Linked DNA regions of Notamacropus eugenii. The protein of the gene in region 1 purifies or fractionates together with the protein of each later gene. This does not show direct contact. Links are inferred from orthologs where the notes say so. Each region holds a gene or a part of one and is shown in the gene's direction. Other genes may lie near its edges.

Evidence for each region. The genes of interacting proteins can lie anywhere in the genome.
Region 2: the proteins of SMARCA2 (region 1) and BCL7B purify together in Homo sapiens (affinity purification with mass spectrometry; 3 studies listed by BioGRID, with this or other methods). This does not show direct contact. The link is inferred for Notamacropus eugenii from reciprocal best matches to the Homo sapiens genes SMARCA2 and BCL7B.
Region 3: the proteins of SMARCA2 (region 1) and BCL7C purify together in Homo sapiens (affinity purification with mass spectrometry; 4 studies listed by BioGRID and IntAct, counting the BioPlex papers as one, with this or other methods). This does not show direct contact. The link is inferred for Notamacropus eugenii from reciprocal best matches to the Homo sapiens genes SMARCA2 and BCL7C.

The regions. Positions count from the first base shown.
Region 1 is NC_092872.1:99,142,421-99,150,258, reverse strand, and holds the start of SMARCA2 (probable global transcription activator SNF2L2), read left to right. Parts: upstream 1-4,804; 5' UTR 4,805-4,977; intron 4,978-5,127; 5' UTR 5,128-5,194; intron 5,195-5,421; exon of another isoform or gene 5,422-5,637; 5' UTR 5,638-5,810; intron 5,811-6,810; exon of another isoform or gene 6,811-7,076; intron 7,077-7,498; exon of another isoform or gene 7,499-7,838. UniProt on the Homo sapiens protein: ATPase involved in transcriptional activation and repression of select genes by chromatin remodeling (alteration of DNA-nucleosome topology).
Region 2 is NC_092873.1:50,364,862-50,372,770, forward strand, and holds the start of BCL7B (B-cell CLL/lymphoma 7 protein family member B), read left to right. Parts: upstream 1-4,862; 5' UTR 4,863-4,981; coding exon 4,982-5,073; intron 5,074-7,909. UniProt on the Homo sapiens protein: Positive regulator of apoptosis. Plays a role in the Wnt signaling pathway, negatively regulating the expression of Wnt signaling components CTNNB1 and HMGA1.
Region 3 is NC_092874.1:377,801,131-377,808,644, forward strand, and holds BCL7C (B-cell CLL/lymphoma 7 protein family member C), read left to right. Parts: upstream 1-4,467; 5' UTR 4,468-5,021; coding exon 5,022-5,113; intron 5,114-5,464; coding exon 5,465-5,543; intron 5,544-6,581; coding exon 6,582-6,690; intron 6,691-6,813; coding exon 6,814-6,978; intron 6,979-7,066; coding exon 7,067-7,152; intron 7,153-7,282; coding exon 7,283-7,429; 3' UTR 7,430-7,501; downstream 7,502-7,514. Other genes in the region: CTF1 (cardiotrophin-1), read right to left, coding at 1-336, 1,503-1,618, 3,454-3,526. UniProt on the Homo sapiens protein: May play an anti-apoptotic role.

The DNA.
Region 1 (7,838 bases):
AGATGTTTGTTTCACATTTCTAGATTCTTAAAGGAAAAGCACGAAGTAGAATGATGCTATGGCAGAGAGAGGTCTTGCCTTGGAATCAAGAAATTGTGAGTTCAAGATCCAATTCTGACACATATTGTCCATATGACCATGAGCAAGTCATTTGACTTGCCACCAAATAATTCTCTAAGGGTTCATAAGTTAGATAAAATACATGCCTCACGTTAATGAATCACGATAGTAGGGGAGAAGCAGATAAAAGTATACTAAATTATTATCATTACTGACCCTTCTATGTTGACCATGATACGACATACAATTGCTACATTAAAAATTGTGTAAATCTCTGTTCTCTTTTGCAAAATTGATCCATGCAAATGACCTAAGTCTAATTGTCATCTGAAGCCCTTTGCAAACCTCTGAAAGCTACTTTCTAGAAAACATCCATACTAAAGTTGACCACCAGAAAATAATTAAATTTTTTGAAAATATGGTGATCCATATAGTGTTGGGTATTAACATCCTAATCAATGCTGGAAAGAATCCTTTTGGAAACTCTTGAGTTGATTTTAGCTTTATTGATTACTTCTTGCTAAACTATAGTGTTATAGCCACAATAACAGTAGTAGCTAAGTTTAAAATCTAAAATTCTAAAATCTTCTATAGTAATCTACAACAGACAAAGCATACAGTCATTACTGTATGGCCGTATTTACTCCTTTTTCATCATAGTTAGACAACATTTTAATCAGAGGAATAATTTCCCTTTAAGTCTAGAAATGTTTGTTGGCTCCATATCCTTACTCTTTTTAACAACTGTGACCCTAGACTTCAATTTTTAAATCATCTATTTGCTTTTTGAAGAACTTCTAGTGATATACTGGGCGCAAACAAATGAATGTGTCAATAAAGACATGAGGAGGTGGTCTCTGTCTCTGGATTCCAAGGTAGAAAGTGAAAAGCTGCTGCTTCAGAGACCAAACAATGACTCATCAAAGGCCAGAAGGAAAAGCTTCACGTGAATTTAACATCCTGTTTGACAACCTGGAGATCTTTCAGCCTTTGACCATATCTGCTTTTGGGAGATTCTCTCCAAAACAAAAGCAACCCTCATAGCCATTCTTCACATCAATTGTTAAATTTTGCTTTTTTCCTGAAAGCTGAATTTCATGTTATTTACTTCACATCTGAAATAGATGGGGATGCAATTTCATTTCTCAGAAGTTTAAGCCACAACAGGCGAGCAATATTGGATGAGATTCCTGCCTGTTACACTGCATGTTACTTACATGAAAATCCTTCATAAGATCTATTTAAAGAAATCAAAGGAAGGAGATTGTCATTTTCCTAGGAAGCACAAAGGGATATGTGGTTGAGAAAATAATGTTGACATTGTTTTTCCTGATTGATATTGTTTTTTATCTATGCTTTTGAAATTTCCATAGTTTCTTCATAAATTATGCACAAAGGCATACAAAATCCTATAAATTAGATGAGGAAACTATATAATACATTAGAGACAATACACATACACACAAATGCACACATGTATATTTATGTGTATGTGTGTGTATGTGTGATATATGTGTGTTTCAATTACAAAAATTTACAATTTAAATTTAAACTTAAAAATACTCCTTTCCCTCAAGTACCTTACATTCTAATACAGGATGCAGCATATAAATAGATAAGAAAACACCAACTTATTTGAGAAGTAAAAAAGTACTAGCAAGTGGATGGATTAGAACAGGCTTCCTTTAGAAGAGGTATGTGAACAACGCTTTGAAAAAGTAAGATTCCAAGAAACTAAAAATGAGAGAATACCTTCTTGTTCTTTATTCATGTCTACCCTGTGGACCATAGCACACCAATACTGTCCTTGGGGTTTTCTTGGCAAAGATACTGGAGTGGTTTGCCATTTCCTTCTCATGTGGATTCAAGCAAATGGAAATTAAGTGACTTGCCCAAGGCCACACAGTTAGTATGTATCTGAGGCCAGATTTGAACTCAAAAAGATGAGTCTTCCAGACTCCAGACCTAGAACTCTGTCCATTAAACCACTTAGCTGCCTCCTAGGTAAACAGATATTAAGTGATTTGCCCAAAGTCACACAGGTAGCCAGTAACTAAGGCTGGATTTGAATTCAGGTCTTGCTGACTCCAGGCTCCAGGCTCAGTGCCACTGAGCCACATAGATACCTAGAGTACCTTCTGGGCCTGTGCAAAGACACATAGGCAAGAAATGAAAAAAACAATTCAGGGAATATCAATTAGTCCCATTTGACTAGAATGTAAAGTCTAAATAATAACAAAGTCAGTAAGTAGAAAGGTATTTGAACATGTATGTATATATGAATATATATGTGTGTGTGTGCATATAATATATAGACACATATCTTTACATATGATGTATTTGTACCTATAAAGGTATGCATCCATACATATATGTCTACATACATACATGTATGCATCCATAAATGTATGTATATATACATATATGATTTTATATTTTTGCCATTGAATACTCAGTACCAAACTCAGTGCCTTGCACATAGCACTTAAAATTTAATTAAATTGGGTAATTGAATACTCACATATGCTCATACATATCCATACAGACATTTTCCCCCCAAAAGCGGGAAAAATTCCAGAAGGAATGGAAAGTCCTTCTACAGATGTTTTGCCAAGGTGATTGGTTTCTCCATGAAAATTGCCTTAACTATAATGGAGAGGGCAAAGAGGTCCAAGGGCTCTTTTTTCTAGGAAGGAATAAAGTGCAATCTCTTATGCCAAAATATTGGAAAATATGTGGTCTTAAGAAATTATCCATTATAACAAGAATCTTCATTAAATTAAAACCCAGTTATGGGCCACCAAATTATTAAGTTTTATTATTAGTTGTAATTTATGAAACAGTTAAATACCTTTGACTGTATTTTACTATGCACCTAAATTTGCTCAGCGTCTCTTGCTGGAGATTCGATGGTTAATAATTATATCAGCATGTCCTTGGGCAGAAAAATCAGTTTATTTTACTGGATGCATGGGGACATACTACGTATTTTAATTGATTCTCTTTAATACTGTCCTTTATCATATTTTGAATAGCCAGAAAATGATGTTGAAGTTGGTGATCAAGTAAAAAGACCTTGGGAAACTACAGTGTCAGTGACAAGTAACATTGTATCTCTGGCATTATAATCATGTCATTACAGATTCTAATTTGGTCAGTAATAGACCAGTAACATAAACAGTACCTGTCACTTAATGACCATATGGAGCATTCTGTGTTCTTCCCATTGCTTCAGGTTCTTAACTTCTCCAGCTGGCTGTTTTGAACATACTACAAGAACGACATTTCAGACACTTGCTCAAATAGAGTCAATTTTGCAACAGTAAAATGCCTCTTAAAATAGGATTTTACTCTAGGGGGAAAACTCTCTATAAAATAGTCACAATGCACTTTCAATGACTAATTTAGGCTGTTGCATGGCAAAATAAGGGATAAATCAAACTTTTCATAACTCTAGCACATAGGAACAGTTTTAATTTTTAAAGGCAAATACCTACATTAATCTGAGGCTAAAATAACAGACCCCTGACTTAAAATCTTCCAATGTGTTCTTTCACAGTTCATAAAAATATTTCTCTCAGCAAATATTGACGGCCTGGTAGGCCTAAGGTGCTTGTATTTCAAGGAACACCATAAGCTGAGGTCTGGGTTTTTTTTTTTTTTTAAAGTGCCAGGAGCATTTAGTTTGAAATCTTAATTGCCTCTTAAGTGTAGGAAGGCAGACTTAGAGATTAATGTGAATGCAGGTTACCAGATTTACTCCCTTGCTTCCACCAAAACGAGATTCAATGGCCCAACTCCTTATTTCCCCCTCCCAATTCCCCTCACCTCAGAACTGGTGTGTATTTATTAATTTATTTATTTTTTACTTATGGAATATAGGAGAAGAAAGGTAAGATAGCAATCTCCGATTCCCAGAGTGGAGGTGTCCCTATTTCTCCATAAGCTTCATAGCCTGATTGCAGATTTGGGGGATCAATGACTTTTGGAAAGGTGCAACTCAATGGAAGGAGAGTCGGATTTGATCTCAATGTTCTTTGTACCCTCCTCCCTTCCTGGAAAAAGGCAGATTTATAATTATAGTCCGGGGGGGTGGGGCGGGAGAGGGAGGAAGTTTCTGCAGCCTTGACAATGGCTATCCCTTCCTTGTAACAACCAGCCTTTGGTGCAACTCCGAATCTATCTCCTCCTCCCCCCTCCTTTCCCCCTTTCCAGGCTCGACCTGGCAATGGCTGGCACAGTTAAATGCCAGCAATTTCTTTCCATACCCCCCAAACTACTACAAGCTATTACTACTACTACCCTCCGTTTTTGTTACGTCTCCAGAGCCTTCTTCCCCAAAACAACACGACGCTGAAGGGGGAAAATTTCAAGCCGGAGGGGGGGTGGGGGTGGGGGGTAGAAAGACATTCCAACAATCAATCGTTGAAAAAGGCAGCAGTAAAGCATGAACATCCACAAGCCAACTCAGGCAGGCTTGCTCTGTCCTGCGCAGTTTCTGTGGTTCCATGTACAAACAGGGAGCAAAGGCTGGAGCCTTTACAGGCACACATGCATACGCGCATACAGTAGACCTGTCTCTCAAGGCACATTCTTCCACACCATCACCCCCTCCTCCCGGTACTCCCGGAGTAGCCAAGGGGGCCGAGTGACAGAACAGGTCCACCAACCCCGGCAGGGGTGGGCAGGAATTCTCGCTGGGCCCAGCCAACTGGAGAGAAGCTTCCGGAGCCTCTAGCGTCAGGGGGGTGGGCCTAGCGAGGAGTAAGGAGGAGGGGCCCGAGTTTAGGAAGAGGAGGGGAAGGCTGTCATCAATGAAGTCATATTCATAATCTAGTCCTCTCTCTAGCTCTGTTTCTGTACTCTGGGTGACTCAGAGAGGGAGAAGATCCATCCAGCATACTCTTCACAAGCAAGGTAAATATAACTTACAACTCCCTTCTCCCCACCCCCCCCACCCCCCGCTCCTGCAGCAGCTGCTGTCGCACAACCACCTCCCGTGCACACTCAGCCTTCCCCAGGATTTATTCATTATGATCATAATTATTATTGATTGTACATGCACAGAGACCAAAACAAGCGAAGAAGAGGAGCAGCCGACAAACAAAACAACAACATTCCTCACCGGTCTCAGGTGAATAAGGAACAGACAGCACAACACCTGGGTGGTTGGAGAAGAGGTGACGAGGGAAAGTTTCCAAGAGAATTGGGGTTCTAATAATGACAGTAATCATGCCTACTTCATGAGAATCAGAACAAAAAGCAGCCACACAATCCTGTACCTGGCTACCAAGTCACCGACGCGCTGCCAAGTCAAGGTTGCAAAACAAACACACACACACACACACACACACACACACACACACTACAACGCACATAGATGGGCAAGGTTGCATCCCCCCCCTCCCCATTAAAAACCTCTGAGGGGAAGAGGGGGAGGAGGGGAAAGAAGGAGGGAGGATGGAAACGCGACAGTTCATAATAAGAAACCATCATAGTAACAGTTGGAGGGGGAGGAGAGAGCAAAATCTAAAGCTTGTCATAGAGCACTGGTAGCCCCTGGCTGCTTTCTCCCAGGGACTTGGTTCAGGAGCTCAGGCAGCGGCGCGGACAGAAATAGATCGAAAGCAGCAACAGTCGGGGAAACCGAGGCTCAGCTCCGCCGTGGCGGCGGCGGCGGCGGGGGCGACCAAGGTGGGAAGCCGCGGCGGCGGTGGCAGGAGCAAACAGAGGCGGCAGGAACCTGGCCGGTAGGTTGGACTCGAGTGTTTTTACCTTCCCCCCCACCCCCCTTTCCTGCGACGGTGACAGACCCCTGGACTTGTATGGTGGTGCTGTAGCTGCTGGCTGTGGTGGTGGTGGTGGTGGTGGTGGGAGGGGAGGGAGGTTTGAACAGAGGATTGCAGGAGAATCGCACCCGGTGTTCTTCTTCCCCAGTTTTCTCTCTCTGTGCACCAATGAGTGCCCACCCCAGTGCCTGCCTGGCAGGAGCAACGGAGGATTCGTTTGGTGCTTGTGTCTGGAGGGGGCATGCATGGGGCGGCGGCAGCTACTGCCTGAGTGCTCGGGCTGCCGCCGCCGCTGCGGCTGCCACCGAGTGTTGAATGTTGAAGTTGAGTGTGTCCGGCCCGGGCTTAGCAGCTGGGCGGGTGGAGGTGGGGAGAAGAAGAGGAGGAGGAAAAGGAGGAGGAGGAGAAGGAGGACACGAAGGAGGAGGACGGAGAGGAGGAGAAAGAGAAGGAGGAGGTCTGGTTGCCCCCTCCTTTTTTTTTCTAGGGCAGTGGGCGCTGAGCTATCCCTTTCAGGGTCAGCGGCAGGGGTGCGAATGGGATGGGGAAATCAAGTGAGTGAGAAGGGGAGAAATGGAGCTTGTTAAGAGTGAGTGGCTGCTGCAGCAGCAGCGGCTGCGTTAACCAGCCGAGCCAAGGAGGCCATGATCCGGATAATCTCCCTGTCTGACTGTCACTAACATTACACACATACACACGCACACACACTCACACACATACGCACACACAGGGGCACGCAAGTGCAAGGTTTATTGGTGGAGGGCGAGGGGAAGGTTGCTGCCTGGTAGGAGAGGGTCCAGAGTCTCCTGACCACCAATGCCTCTTCTTGTTCCTTGTCTTTTAGTTTTGTAGGGTTCTGATCGAATCTGGTTTGGGTTCTGCCTCCTCCCCTCCCCTCCTCCTCCCCCCTCCCGCCCCCCGCCCCCCCAGCGCCAAGAGCTCCTCTCCTCCTTCTGGTTGCCTTGCAAAACACAGTCACGCGAACTGCAAAGGTGTCGCGATTCACTTCCCCAAATAGCCTGTCCAGCTCGTCCCTGACTTGGCCCCGTCCACTCCCCGGGCCGCTGCCGCCGCCACCTCCCGGGTGCAGAACAGCGGGGTCGGACGTTCGGGCATGCCTGGTGCCTTGCATCCAGCGCATCTGTGTATGCCTGGCTTCATCTGGAAGATAAATGGATAGCTCCGTGCATTAAACGCTTCCCGGCCCAAAGACTTCGTTGATTTCCGGTAAACGCGGGGAAATTGCTTCTTGCGGCTTTCCCCCAGCTTTTTCTTGGCTGTAACCAGTGTGCAACTACCTAGATGAGATGGTGAAGACCGCGGTCCTCCTGTTTTCATTTGTTTTTATAGTGGTTGGAAGGCAGGGAGGGGGAGGCACAGAACTTGCCCCTGTTGCTTTGGAGGCGGAGGGGGGTCTGCCGCATCCAGACCCCAGGAGGGAAGTTTGGAGAGGTCTAAGGCAGAAAAGTTTGGCAGGGTAGATAACTAAGGTGGAAGGGGAGGGAGAGAGCGGTGGAGAGGGCCTGAGGGGTTTGCAGCTAGTATTACAGTTTGCTCTAGGTTGGAGTGTGTGTGTATGTGTGTGTGTATGTGTATGCGCGAGTGCGTTGTGTGTGTGTGTGTGTGTGTGTGTGTGTGTGTGTGTGCGTGCGTGCGTGTGCGCGCGCGAGTCAGGAGCAGCAGGAGGAAAGCAGACTCCCTCCTCCTCTCTCCTTCTTCTCCTCCTCCTCTTCCTCCCTCCCCAGCCTGTGCCTGGAGAGGAAGAGGCGAGGTTTGGTGGTGGTGGTGGTGGTGGTGGTGGTGGTGTGTGTATGTGTGTGAAATCCTCGGGGAATCAGGAAGTCACAGCGGCGAAACACACACACGTACGCACACACATACACACACAGACATGTTTGATCGGTATGACATGATGAGAGGGAGGGAAGAGGAAGAAGAAGCTGGAGAGAGACAGGCCTAGCGCTCTCGGGAAATATGCTCTCCGCCGGC
Region 2 (7,909 bases), on another chromosome or scaffold:
CAAATATGGAAGGTTCCAGGGAGTAGGCAGGGCAGAAAGGAAGACCAGGACCAAAAAAATCCCAGAGGTTTTACCAAACTATCACACCTCCTAATAGGTTTCTCCACTCCCCTGCTCTAATCCAACTTTTGTACCAATCTTAGAGAGTCATTTTTACTTGTAGATCTGGTCAAATCTGGTGTTTGAGTAGTTTCCCCTACTCAAACACCAAGCAGAGATGCTTTCATGTCCACCAAGATATCCAAAGCCTTTCACAAGGAAGCCATATGACCTTTCCTGCCCCCTCCTACATTATTTCCCTCTATGGCCTCTCATCAGTTGTCTTGGCCAATTCTTTGCTCCCCAAACACACCCTGAAATCTTCTGCCTCCATGAATTTGCTCAAGCTGCTTCCTCTGCCTAGAACACTTTTCCTTTCCCTTTGCCTTTTGCTACCCAGTCTATTGCAATAGCTTTTGAAACCTCAAGGCTTCCAAAAAGGAAGCAAACCACTCAGTAAGGCTAAAGGAATAGATACGTATACATATACATATATACACACATGCACATGTATATACACACATATATGTATATACACATATATTTACACACACACACATACATACACGGAGTAGGAAAGAATTTGAAAGGTGGTCCCGTGAAGAGGCCTCACCCTGGCTTTGGCTTACATAGCCACAACTCTCCTAATCACTGGGAGATCAGAGTGCATTTAGGGTTAGACCTGGAATAGAACTTAGAGGCCAGAGGCCCAATTCTCTCATTTTACAGAGACTGGAAGTGATAAGCGATTAGAGCTGTGAAGATGGAAGGGACCTTAAAGGCCATCATGTCAATATCCTTATTTTACAAATAAGGGCCTGGAAACCAGAAAGAGTTGTGAACTGAATATAAACTTTGAAATCTGTAACCTTATCCATAATCCTTGAGAACTGGAACTATTATATCCAGTCAGCTGTGGATAGAGCGCCACCATTCCTATACCCAGGAAGACCTGAGTTCAAATTTGGCCTCAGATACTTACTAATTGTATGACCCTGGGCAAGGTATTCAATCTTCATTTGCCTCCCTTTCCTCATCTATAAAAATTTTGCATATGGATCATAATCTCACCTACCTCCCAAAGCTGTTGTGAGGATCAAATGAGATAATTGTAAAGTACTTAGCACAGTTCCTGGCACATAGTTAGCTCTATATAAATGTTAGCCATTAGTATTTTATTATTTTTGTATTCCTAGCACAGTGAGGCCTTAATTAATACTTGCTGATTGATTGATCAAGGTTAATGATAATATTAATTAATGATCAAATTTATCAATCAGTTAATTTAATCAGTTAATGATAAAGCTGGGATTTGATTATAAATCCTGCTTCTAAATATCACCGGTGCTTATTTCACTGTACCGCAGACATAGCTGGGATTTCTCTGCAGACCTCTCTTCCTCCTCAGTCCAACCTGGCCCCAAAGGTAGGGAGCTGACATTTCCAACACTGAGGTAGTGGGCCTATATCACACCTATACTAGGGACAGCCTCCACCCTTGTGCTACCCTAGTGGCAATGAAACTGAAACAGTCTGTACATTTCATTCAAAGTTTTGATTTGTTTCCTGCCTCTGATGTCACAGGCAGGGAGGGGCTGGGTACTGGCCAAGGGATGACTCCAGAGCCTACAGCAGGGGGCTGGGAGCTTAAAGAGCAGATTCAATTCCAGATATGGAGTGTTCTGGTAACAGGGCAGGTCAGAGGTGCCAGCCAGCAGGAGGGTGTGTGTTTCCATCAGGCAGCCTTCTTCAAGAAAGGCTAGATCTTGGTTTGTACTGCTGCATTACTTATTCCTTATATCTTGATTCAAATGCTCCCTCCTATAAAAAGCCCTTCCCTGATTCTCCTTTCTAACCCCCATCCCCACCCCCAAGCTTTCTCATTGGATGTCACATTGTACTTTATTTTGAACTGTATCATACACTTTCCATATATATAGACACATGTGTTGGTGTCTTAATCAGTCAAAAACAAATTTATTAAGCACTACACTAGAAATACTAAAATAAATGTGAAGAGCTCTTTTCTCAGGGTCCTTAACATTCTATGGGAAAAACACATCTAATCCCCCTGTTAGACTATAAGGTGGGGACATGAAGAGGTCTTGGCAATCATTTGGACCTGGGAATCAGATGGTGAGGGATCCAGGATGACTCCTAGGGTAGGAGCCTGAGGGCATGGGAGGAGGGTGATGCTCTTAAAGAGAGGTGGGGGGAAGGACATAGAGTTTGGGGGAAAGTTTTGGATATGTTGAGTTTAAGGTATCTACTGGGCATCTAGCTTGAGATGCCTGAAAAGCCAGTGGAGATTCGAGATTGGAGGTCAGCAGAGACTGGGGCAGGAAAGGTAGATTTGAGAATCCTTAGAGTAGAGATGTAAACCTCAGGAGACTTGCTAAACTAGGTTAAGGTAGATAACAGGCCCCAAACCTGTAGGTCAGTTAGAGGAATGTCTATCCCAAGCGCGAGAGGACCTCTCAGCAGAATGGGTGGATGAGAACAATGTGCACCAACATTGAAGATGCCCCCAGCTCATCCACTGCCTCTGGGGTCATCTCCAGTCACCTTGACTTTTGTCTTGTCACTGGGCTTTCATGAGGAGAGAATGAGGATGGTGACTTGGTGAAGCTCTGCCTCACTTAAAGTTCAATGCATGTGGGAGTCAAGACATCACCCTGTAAATGGAAAATGAAAGACAAACAAGAAGCTGCCTGAGGGCAGGGATGTCTTATGTAAACTTTGTATTTCCTCAGCCAGCACACCAAGGGCTTTAAAATGTTTGTTGAATGAATGAAAGAAGGCTGTTGAATGGGAAACAAGTCAGTCAACTAGCATTTATTATAGAAATATAAAAGACAGGGGCAGTTAGGTGGTGTGATGGATAGAATACCAGTCCTCGAGTCAGGAGAACCTGAGTTCAAATCTTGTCTCAGATATTTACTCGCTGTGTGACCCTGGGCAAGTCACTTCTTTGCCTGTTTCCTCATTTGAAAAAGGAAATGGCAAACCACTTTAGTATCTCTGCCAAAAAAAATGCAAATAGGGTCACAAAGATTTGGACATGACTGAAAAAACGACTGACCCATAAAAAGTTTGCCCCTTTGCAAGCAGCATTTCCTGGTCCTCCTTAATCTCAGTCCTTTTCCTCTGAGACTATACCCAATTGATACTGTATCTACCTTATTCCTACAGTTATTTTTATGTATGCTCCATTAGACTGGAAGATCCTTGAGGGACAGGACTTTCTTTGTCTCCCCACCCCAAATATTCACCCTCACTATCTGTGCCCAACATGTGATAGAACAATCCAAGCTGGTATTGGTCTGATCAGCCACAGTTCCACACACTGAAATTTCACTTTATCACCATAATGTCATTTTGGTCCTGTTGGAGAAGAAGGACAACAACCAACCAACCAACAGGAGAAAGAATGCTTACTTGATTGGAATCTCAGTTCTGTTTTTTATTAGCTATCTGATCTTCGGTAAATCCCAACTTTTTAGCTTGGTTTGGTCATCTGTAAAAAGAAGTTAATACTTGCAAAGGACCGTTGTTGGGAATATATTTTTTTGTTAGTTTTATCTTGTAGCTATGTTACATTGTAATATTTTCTTTAGTCAGGGTACTCCCTTCGTTGGAGCACTTTCCATCAAAGCAATTTGTCAACCCATCTGTAATTTAGGGTTAAAAGCACTCCAGGAGTGGAAACGTCCTACCAAGGCAGAAGGCTAATTTCTTTATAATTCTGTGTGTGGAGAGTTGCCTGGGGGCACAGAGAGACTGAACGCTGTGTCAGACGGTGTTAGAGGCAGGAGAATGGCTCTCAACCCACTGCTGTTTGGCTACATTATGACAATATACTATATACAATACGCTATACACGATATTCTGTAGATTATGGGTTTGCAGTTTCTTGAACTGAATAGGAATTTGCATGCGGTATGCAAAATAGTTGGAAGCCCCAAACCTGGAGGCCATTAAACAAATGCATAAATGAATGAACGTATAATTTTTAAAACATATAATTTAATATATTTTATATGTTTATAAATCTAAAAATATCCATATCCATCCACCTCCCACTACTCTAATGCCTGGAGGCATGGAGATGATCCTGGATTCCTGGAATAGGGGTGCCTAACGGAACTCCGGCCCGTTTAGGGTTGTAGGTAGGATTTTCTGGGAGGAAGAACCTCGAGGAGTCTGGGGAAGGGCTCTGGGGGATGGGCTGAGAGGCTGCTCCGCGGAGCCCACGGGCACCCAGAGGTCTCTGCACAGATTTGGGGAGGGGCGTCGGTGAACTTTTAAAAGTATTTTGCTGTTTATTTTGACAACCGCATTTAAATACTTTTTCTCTAGGTTTCTCTCGCCTTCGTACGCACTCGAAGTAGTTATACCAACAGTAGGATTCTGAGAACCCTGGAGTTCCAGCAGCTCAGGGAGGTTTTCAGGCGTGGGCCCTCCGAACAAAGTCAGCACCGCCTCCCACCTCGGGGCTCGGAACCCGGGGAGGGGCGGGGAGCAGCAGAAGCTCCAGGGCTGGCCTGAGGCTGCCTCCCAGCAGGTGGGTCCTCGTGCTTCTTTCCCCGCCCCCACTCAGAGGCACGTGCCAGACGCCTGGCTTGTGCACAAGCTCCTCCCCCTCCCGTCTTCCTCTCCCCAGGGGGCTCTGGGCTTTGCTCCGAGGACCAGGGGGGAGAGAGCAGGTGGGGGGGCGGAGTTTCCCGGGAGGGCCGCGCAGGCGCGCTGGGCCGGGCGCGAGCCCCGCGGGGCGCGCGCAGGAGGAGGGCGCGGAGGCGGAGGCAGAGGGGGGCGGGGAGGGCGGGGGCGGTGCCGGTGACGCGACTGTGGCAGCGGCGGGCGGGCGGTGGCGGCGCGTGTGGCGCGCGCTTCTCCGAGTCCTGGGAGCAGAGCCCCGGCCCCCGCCGCTCCCGCCGCCGCCATGTCGGGCCGGTCCGTCCGGGCCGAGACCCGCAGCCGGGCCAAAGACGACATCAAAAAGGTGATGGCCGCCATCGAGAAAGTGCGGAAATGGTGAGGAGCTGTCAAGGGGGAGAAAGGGGTGATGTATGTCGGGTGAGGGGGCCCGGTGCGCGGCCACAGCCGAGCCGGAGCGGGGTGGGTTAAGGGGTGGGAGCCGGCCGGCCGGCCGGCGCCGGGGGCGGGGGGCGGGGGGAAAGGGGAGGAAGGCGGAGCCATCTGCTGCTGCGCCTGCGCTGAGGAAAAGGACGCGCCGGCCTCAGCCAATCAGCGCGCTGCCGGTGTCCGGAGCCGCCCTCGCACGTGACTCTGGGCCCGCCCTCCCGGAGCCGGTGATTATTCTGACCGGAGCTGCTTGGGAAGCAGGTGCGTTCTGCGGAGGCTCCGGCTCTACTCTCTCCCAGGGCCGCGAGCCTCAGAGGCGGCCACGTCCGAAACTTTCCGGCAGATCTGCGTTCAAGGGCTGTGGACTGACCCACCTCGTGGCCCGCTCTGGCCTCCGGGGTGCCCTCCTCTTAACTCCGGTTATCCACGGCTTTCAGCTCCTGTGAAGTTAGACTATGTTAGGGCCCCTTTTAGGCTTCATCCCATCCTCGTAGGATGTTCTCCATAACCGGAATCAATCCTTCAAAACTCAATCACGAGGCGTTTTTCTGACGGCCTTTCCTGATCTCCCCACTTCTACCTAGCAGCCAGTGTCTGCCTACTGTTACTTTGTAACAATTACAATTACATTGTAACTTCCTTGAGAACAGGAGTTTCATGAAATCTTTGTATCCTTAGGGCTCAGTATTGCGGCTTAATTTTTGTTTCTAGCAAGACTTCAAATGCTTACAGCCTGCTAGATATTATGTTAAGCAGTGAAAAGACCCCCTCTCCCCCACCCCCACAAAAGTCCCTGACTTCAAGTTTATATTCTTTTGGAGAGAACATATAAGTACAAAATTAAATACAAAGTATCTACACAGTGACTTTCTCATGGAGGGTGTTAATAACTGATACAAGTAATATACAAAGGAACTTTCTCTTCACCTGGCTCCTGAAGGAATTGTACTATATGGCCTCTTTCTGCTTCAGTTCTAGGGTCCTTAGAAAAGCTTTTTGTAGGCGGTGTCACTTGCGTAGAGATTTGAAGTCTTTTCATTTGAAAATGTGGAAGCTGAGACTCAGGAAAACAGTATGAAACAGTGGAAAGAAGAAATCAGAGGACTCTACCTCAACTCCTGGCATTACCACTGTCTAGCTGTGTGACTTTGGGCAAGTAGAGGAAGTGTCTGGGCTTTGGATTCCTCATCAGTAAAATAAGAGGATTGGATTAATCGACCTGTCCTTTGTAGCCCTAGACTTGTGAAGGAGCAGCTCATGTTGGCACCTCTAAGCAGGGTCCTGTCTGAGCTCCAAACTTATTGTCCTGTGATTCTAAGCCACGTGCACATTCTACTGTGCCATGTTGATTCATGGTACTTACTATGTATCTCTCCTGAACTCTTCCTTGCACCCATCCAGTTCTTTGTGGATATCTTGATTTGGGAAATTTCTGAGAATAATCAATCAGTCTATTTCTTTTTATATCTTATTCCTGCTCAGAGATCTTGGACAGAGACTTAAATCATCTTATTACTGCTTAGAATCAAATAAGATTTTATTTTTTTTTCTATTCTTTTCTGAAGTATCTCTCATTGTGAAGTTGAGGGAAGTAACAGGTCAGCAAAAAGAAACTTTCTGTTATCCTCATGCCATCATCTCCTAACTTGTATTCTAAAAATATGTTAAAGGTGCTGGTGTTTGGAGCTACAAAGAGCCTCCTTTTGGCTTATCTTGATCTAGTTAGAGAACCTGGAGTCCTGAGACTTAATTATTTTCCTGACTTTACTAAGGATTTAATGAGTGACCATTAAGGTCACTTTCGTCTCATTGTTTCTCTCTTTTCTGATTGTAGGTTCCCTTCCCTACCAGCTCTCTTTTTCTCTTTTAAGAATGAGTTAACAAATGAGTTGTTTGTGATTCTTTGAACTCTTTGAGGTCAAGAAGTTATAAAGTCATAATTTTCAAACTAACTTAACAATCTTAACTTCATCCTAAAAAGGCCATCTCCCATCCCATCTAGCTAGTGGAGCCATGGTTTTCTTTTCTTTCTCTTTTTTGAACTATGTAGACATTTCTCTCATACATGAGACATGTAAATAAAATGTTGATATTTTGTTTCTTCTGTCCTGGGCAGTGAGTTTTGCTGCTTTTGGTTATATAATTGGGCAAAATAAGGGAAGAACTATACAGATCTTACCTTTTAGAACAGAAATTCTCCAACTAATTGAAAAACTCTTTCAAAATTTAATGAACTTAGGGGATCATAGCTCTAGAGTTGGGAGGGACCTTAGAGGCCATCTAGTCCACGCCTCTAGTTTTACAGATAATATAACTGGGGCCCAGAGTCTGGAGAAGGAAACTGGCCCAGGCCAAGATAGTAAGTATTAAAGGTAGGATTTGAATGCAAGTTTGCCTGACTCCAACACAACACTTAACTGTAGAATAAACATTTAGTCCAACTTGTGCTGGAGAAGACTCTCTCCAATATCCAAGAAGTGATTGCCTAGCCTCTGCTTGAAGACTTCTAGGAGAAGAGAATATATAGTGCCAGGCACTTTACAAGTGCTTTACAAGAATTGTTTTATTTATTTTATTTTATCCTGCCAACAACCCTGGAAAGTAGGTGCTGTTACTATTTCTGTTTTACAGTTGAGAAAACAGAGCTTAAATGTAAGTGTCTGAGGCCAGATTAGAGTTCAGTTCTTTCTAACTTCAAGCCCAGCACCCTGTGCATTGTGGTGCCCCCTGACTGCTGCTCATCTCCAACCTGCACTGCCCTAACTGATATCATGCTTAAATTTGC
Region 3 (7,514 bases), on another chromosome or scaffold:
AGGAGATTCAGGGAGTATGGGATGTGGCCCTGGGGGCCCTGGGGTTGCACCTAGTGCCCCCAGAACAACCTCTACAGCATTCCCCAGCGCCCTTGACTGGTGAGAGGCATCTTCTAGCCGCCGGAGGAGCCGACGGGCAAAAGGGTTGAGGTCAGCCTGGAGCCGGCGGATGGTGTCCAGTAGTGGGGACAGTGAGTTCAGGGCAGCTGCATCAAGCTGCAGCCTCTCAAGGGTGGGGAGCCCTGAATGAGTTGGGGCTGGGGAGTTCAGCCCGGGAACTGGTAACCCTGGGGGAGAGAAGCTGGGCAGCCCGAATGGGTCCCCCTGGTGCTGGACCTGTAAGGGAAGGGTGGGGAGAGGTGTTAGGAGGAGTCTTTTCTTCCCCTTGGACAGACCCTCCCTGGAGGATCCAACTTAAGGCAACAGATTCCCAGTCTTCTATAAAAGTCCCAGGCAAGAGCAACTCCTCTGGATGTGAACCATTTATGCTATAAAATTGCCTTATTTTCTACCAGCTTTGGTGAGACCTATGAGGTCTCTTTGCTCTTTTTGCTTGGTTCTCATTAGGGAAATTGATCCTTCTCATCAATAACACAAGATTTTTCTTCCTTCCCACCCCACCTGCCAAAAGTTCTACAGGTGAAAAACTTCTGTTCTACCTCCCAGAGAAATGTTTCCCTTTGTAGGGTTGGATCCCAATTAGAATCACAGAATCTGGAATATTTTTATAGGAAACTGAGGTATAGAACTGAGGCATAAGTTGCCCAAGGTCACACAAGTATAAAAAAACAGAAATAGAACTTTGTCACTTGCACTGTAGTTTTTCCAAGCCAGTGTTAGTGGGGAGGTCCTGTAGCAGAGATAGTATTAAACAGTAATAATCTAACAGTCAATAGCCTATGGGTCATGGGGATTTGAATTTCGATGCATGGCATAAACTTCCCTCCTACCTTCTACCAGTTTCATTTGTGCCAGTATTAATGTTTCTGTCTCATCAGCACTCATCGGCTTGTCAGAGAAGGCTGGTGAGGGTGAGGTGGGAGGGGGGGTGGGGGTGGGGGGATAGGGTGGGGGATGGAAGGGAGCCTGCTAGGCAATGGAAACATAAAGCTTTTGGTGATTAACAGCTTGATCTGAATGGAAAGCTGACAGGAGGTGGATTTTCCTCTACATATGTGGGAATGAGTTCTCATCTTTCTTATTTCTAATTCTGAAGCTGCCTACCCTTTAAGACAAAGCCAAGGTTGGTCTGTTGTCAAGAACTCTAGAATGAGAATCCGTGGTCCTGGATTCTAATCCTACTTCTAACATTGATTCACTGTGTGACCCTGGGCAAGTCCTATCCACTTCTCAGCTTCTTCTTCTGTGTAATAGTGGGGCTGGATTAGATGGTCTTCCCAGGGCTTGCCCCTAAAATGGAATAATTCAAAGGGTATAGAGTAATCTTTCCCATTCTTCCCCATCCCCTTTTCCACCCCACCACCTCCCACCTCTGTACTCACATATTCCTGAAGCAGCTGCTCAGCATAGCTAGTGAGGAGTCTTGCAAGACTGTGGGTCTGACGGATCTTGGCCTCAAGGTGGGAGAAAGATGAGGCCGAATGGGACTGTAAGTCCACTGGAGGGGACAGGGGAGGATGAGGAGGAATCAAAACCCAGGTCCCCTGACATAACAGATCTCCCTTCTTCCCATAACATACTATTTTTAGTGTCTTATTGGTGGCTTGATTCCACATTCTCACCTTATACCAATTGGGGCTGTAGTCCTATCTTCCCCTACCCTAATTATCTGAAAGAAGAAATTGATCTACAGGAGCTGGAGGTAGGGAAGCAAGGAGGTGTGGGGCCTGGACAGGAGACTTGAATGACTATATTGCAGATAATCACAATTCCTAGGTGATTATGTGTTATAATACCTGGAGTACCCTTTGATAATACCAACTACAGTTTCAAATCCTGACAAGTTGACTGATTAATAACTTGAATTGGCCTTAGACTCCTCTGAATTGGGAGTTCAGTTACTTAAGGGATTAGAAAATTTTAATTCTTAACAGTTTATAACCTAGTCCCACTGTATACATCACCAAAGACAAGAAGGGGAGATGCTAGGACAGGAGTTCCTAACTTTTTTGTATGTCATACTCTTTTGGCAGCCTGGTAAAATCTATGGACCCCTACTCAGAATTACATCTTTAAATTCATACAATAAAATGGATAATTAATTATATCAAAAGTTATCAAAAAATTAAAACAAAACAAGTTCATAGACCTCAGGTATAGAAAACACTTGACTACACATTCTGGCTTCACTTTACTCTTGACTAGGAGAAAACTACATTTCCCAGGATGCAAAGAACTTAGGCAGATGCTAGGCACATGGTGCTTAATATTGTAGGGGGAGGACTAGTAAGAAGGAAGCGACATGCAAAGGTGACCAAGTTCTTTAACCCATGTCTGGCCCCAAAGACCTATCACCACATCTTTTGCTGTTCAGCTCTCTCTCTCTCTCTCTCTCTCTCTCTCTCTTTCTCTCTCTTTCTCTCTCTCTCTCTGTCACACACACACACACACACACACACACACACGCGCGCGCGCGCGCGCACACACACGCACGCACACACACACACACACACACACACACACACACACACACACACACACACACACTCGTCAACTTTCTTCCCAAGACCCTATCTCTCTTGAGTACTCGAGTAGCTTATCAATTAGCTCTGGTTCTCCTTTATAAAGAGCAAAGAGCTTCCTTGCATTCTACCCTCCCCCACCTCGATCTCCTTCCTTTCCCTCCCCCCCAGCCCCCCCCCCCCACTCCCAGTCATTAATTGACCATCCTGCTCTATTCAAACTATGAGACTTCAGCCAGAGGCTGGTATTTTTGCCAAAGACTCTCAACCCCACACTCTTTGCCCCTCTTCAACATATAAGTTGTTAAGGTGAGCCCACATCTCACTTCCACAGCCCCACTTCCACTTCAAGTCCTATCCTTTTAGTTTCCTCCTCCAAGTCCTTCCCCATTTTCTTAATCAGATCCCTTTCCTTTCTCAGAATCCATCCATTTGGCTGTTTAGCCACTAAGCTGTCCTTTTCAGAACACAAACATTACATTACAGCCCCAGGCACCTAACTTGTAGGACTGAACCCTGCTCCTCCTATTAACCTGCAGTCTTGCCCAGTTCCCAGCTTTCTCTTCTAGACCCAATTTTTCCAAGTCCCAGAAGTCCCTTACCCTTGTTTCCCTCCCTCTGGCTCATGTTGGCCCCCTCCGTCCCCTGGCTGGTCCCGGTTCCCTACATGCCCCCTCCTCCCCTTCCCAGAGAGAAGAAGAAGGGAGGGAAAAGGGGGGTAGGGGGCGTGGTCCACTATCAACCAATCAGGGGCCACCCCCAAACTCCCCCCACCTCACCCCAAGCCCAGATTCCAGGGCCCTGAGCTCACCTTTTAGCCCTGCCCTGAGGAGCGGAGAAAGGCCTGGGAGCGAGAATATAGGTCTTGGGAAGATAAAAACCATAAGGATCTTGGGGCGCTCCCTCCCAGAGAGCTTCAACTTTTCTCCTAGTCTAGGAATTGGATTGAGAACTGTCACCTTGCTGATGAGGTCACCCAGACAGCAAAGGGGCAGGGACTGTCAGAGTTCTGAGAGGGCAGTTGAGAGGAAAGAAGCTAGGAGTTGGGGTGGGGGTTGGGGGGAAGGAAGAGGAGGACTCCTGGGTTCAGGGAGGGAACTGGCATGCCTGGAATTCAAAGAATGTACCTACTGGATAGCTTTCCTGGGGATACACCAAGTGAACTACCCCCAGGAGTTGGGGGGTGGATGGAGGAAGGGGAAAAGATTTGCGAGGTTGTTGGAGAAGGTGGCACCGGAAATGTATTATAGTCACAGGGATGTGCAGACACACACCAAGAGATCTACTACCATATTCTTGAACAGATAGTCACATCTCAATCTCACCAATTAGACAGTAAAGCAAACTGATAGACAGACACATTTTAAAAGGATATCTGATATATTATGGGCGCCTGCCCAGGAATGAAACAGTGGTATCCACAAACACTTAGATCCACGGCACAACCCCACTTGCTGACTCTTAAACCAGCACCCACAGATGCTGTGCAGAGTGAGAGACATGTTTCCTGAAGGACTTTCACAAACATGCTAGGGAAGAAGATATACAAGTACCCCAGTTTGATACAATTGCATTAATGCCCACAGTGATACATAATCGCCAACTGATACACATATACACGCACATGCACATAGAGGCTGAAACTCCACAGGCACAAGGGGGCAGTCAAAGGAACTTAAAACGAAATCGAGTAGGGACCTCCCCTTCCCCCTGCCCCTAGCCCTGGCCCTGCCTCTACGGCCAGGCCCTGGTCCTGTCTCTGGAGAGCAGGGGGCGCTGTGGGGGAGCCAGAGTGGGCGGGGAAACAACTCAGCACAGGGGGCGGAGGGTCTGGTCCAGGGGACTACTGCTCCTTGGTTTCCTGGCTGCAGCAGGGAAATCCCCAAGCCAGAGCAGAACTAAAAGGCGGCTGGGGCAGGGGCGGGCTTAGAGGAGAAGCCAGAAAGAAGTGACAGGGAAGGAGACAGACACTGACGACAGGGAGCCGAAGAAAGGGAAAGAGAGACAGTGAGGGAGGCAGGAAGAGTGACTCACAGAGAAAAGCGAAGACGACAGACAGCACTGGGAAGGGAGGAGAGCAAAGAAAAAACATTTTTGTTTTTAAAAGCAGGAAGACAGGATGGAAAACCAAGAGGGAAAGAAAGAGAGGGAGTGAATCAAACCGACGAGGAGATTGAGAAGTGGGGAAACAGGAAGCCAGTGAGCAAGGGGTAGGGGGAGAAAGGGATAGCTTAGGAGGAAGAGAGAACTGAGTAAGGCAGAGAGGGAGCTCCAGGGGAGAAGGGCACCAAGTGACCCAGACAGAGGTGTCTGGGGAGTCCAGGAAGCATCCCTAGTGCAAGCCAGGTGGGCCTCGGGAGAAGCGACACCTCAGTTCTCATGGCGGGCCGGACGGTGAGGGCTGAGACCAGGAGCCGGGCCAAGGATGACATCAAGAAGGTGATGGCAACCATCGAAAAGGTCCGGAGATGGTGAGAATGGAGGCCCAGGGACTGGAAGGCTTGGGTTTGAGACAGGGAGGAAGGGAAGGGATGTGGGGTAATAACATGGAGTGAGAGCAGTGGGATGAAGGTTTCAGACAGACCACCCTCCAAAGCTTTGGATATCTAGGTCCATCCCAATTAGACTGCTGTTTTTCCCTTCTCCAAAGATAGCTGTGCCATAGAACTGTGTGTTTTTATGTGTTGGTGAGATGTGTGTGTGTGTGTGTGTGAGAGAGAGAGAGACAGAGTGAGAGAGAAAGAGAGACAGAGAGAGAGAGAGAGAGAGAGAGAGAGAGAATCTCTGGCTCTGCATGACCTGGCTCTGTGGATCACCCCTAGGGAGAAACGCTGGGTGACAGTGGGAGACACTTCCCTCCGTATCTACAAGTGGGTGCCTGTGGTGGACCCACATGAGGAGGTGAGAGAATTCTATTTCCCTTATGACATACTGCCTTCTCCACTATTCCCTTTCTTTCTTTTCTTTGTAACATTATCAGTCTTTTCCCCCAAACCAGATTCCCCCCCTTTACTTGGTCTTTTTTCAGTGTCACTACCATGTATCCCAGTCTCCCCTAAACATTGGATTCTTCACTCTCATATCCTATATGTTACTAAGCTCTGCTGAATCTTTTCACTGCAGTAACATTTGCATCTGTACTTTCCTTTCTATTTCTACTTGCTACCACCCTAGTGCAGGCTCTCATTATTATCCACCTAGGTTATTGCAATAGCCTCTAAATCTATCCTTCATATTGCTACCAGATGTTTCCCACCCCACCCCCACCCCTCAGCTTGCCATATCTTGTCATGCCACTCCATTGCCCAAAATCTTCCACGGTTTCTTGTTGTTGTCTATCCATTGAAGGTCGAAGCTCTTTTGCCTGGCATTCAAGGCCCTCCACAGCTAGGCATCACCCAGCTTTGCACACTTCCCCCTACAGCTTTCCTCCATCTTCACTGACCGCTTAAGCCAAAGTAGATTGCTTTCTGTCCCCAATTTCTTGCACCTGAAAATGTCTCCATCCCCTTCTCACCTGTTGAATTTTTACCCATTTTAAAAGCCTAACTCAAATATTACCTCTACCATAAAGCTTCCCTGGCTTTATCAGTAACAGCTGCACTCTCCCTCTCCCCAAACCCATAAAATAATCTTTACAAGTATGCAATGAATTGATTATATATTCCTTTGGATTATGTTACATGTGTCCCATTTCCTTAACTGGGCAGCTCCTGGAGGGCTGGTCTCCAATTAAAATTTTTTTTATTCCCTCCATACCTTAGCACAATTCCCAGAACACTGGAGGTACCTAATGAATGTTTGTTGAAAAGAGCTGAATTCCTTCAGGATCTGACTCTTTTCCCTTTCTTGGGAAACTTTCCTGCTCCCTCTCCCAACTAATTCATTCATCTTTTCTCTACCACTCTCGAACTACCTTGCTCCTTTTCCTTTCTGTAGGAACGTCGACGGGCAGGAAGTGGGGCTGACAGGCCCCGAGTCAGGGAACGGAGGGGTCGGGGAGCCAGTCCAAGAGGGGGTGGTCCCCTCATCTTGCTTGACCTCAGTGGTATGTAGGGGTGTCTGGAGGGTGGGAGAATGGAAGTCTTAGGTTGGGGGAAGGGAGAAGAGATCCTAAGGTAGAGGAAGCAGAGGCACCCCAAGGCCCACCCCTCCCAGCCTCTTTTCCCAGCAGATGAGAACAGCAATCAGAGCTTCCACTCAGAGGGCTCCCTGCAGAAGGGCACAGAGCCCAGCCCAGGGGGAACGCCTCAGCCTAGCAGACCAGCCTCACCTGCTGCTCCACCAGATGGGACTTCTGAAGATGTTCAGCCCCCAAGACTGGGCCAGGAAAGAGGTAAGAACTAAACAACTCCTCCATTGGCTTCCCACTGTGATCTTTAGCTCCTTGTTCCCTGGGGTAACCTGCTTTCTTGTTATTCCAGATCCAGGGGGTGTGACTATGGGTGGGACAGATGAACCCCCAATGCTCACTAAGGAAGAACCTGTGCCTGAGTTATTGGAGGCAGAGGTGAGAAAGGCTGGAGGAGGCTGGACTTTGGAGCGGTAGGGAATGAGGGATGTGGAAGGACTGGGGGTTGGAGGGGGCGGGCAAGATCCTTGGGATCTAGGAGAACTTATCCCCAGTTCCTCCTCTCCAGGTTCCTGAAGCTTACCCAGTCTTTGAACCAGTGCCCCCTGTGCCTGAGGCAGCTGTGGGGGAAACTGAAGACTCAGAGGGGGCACCCCCTCTCAAGCGTATCTGTCCAGATGCCCCTGAAGGCAGTCCGCTCCCCCCAGATCCTTGAGCCTAAAAAGCTGATCCATAAACTGTTGTGTCCTCCCTGGCTTTTTACAAATAAAGAACCTTTTGTAGCCAAGTATCCTCTCATT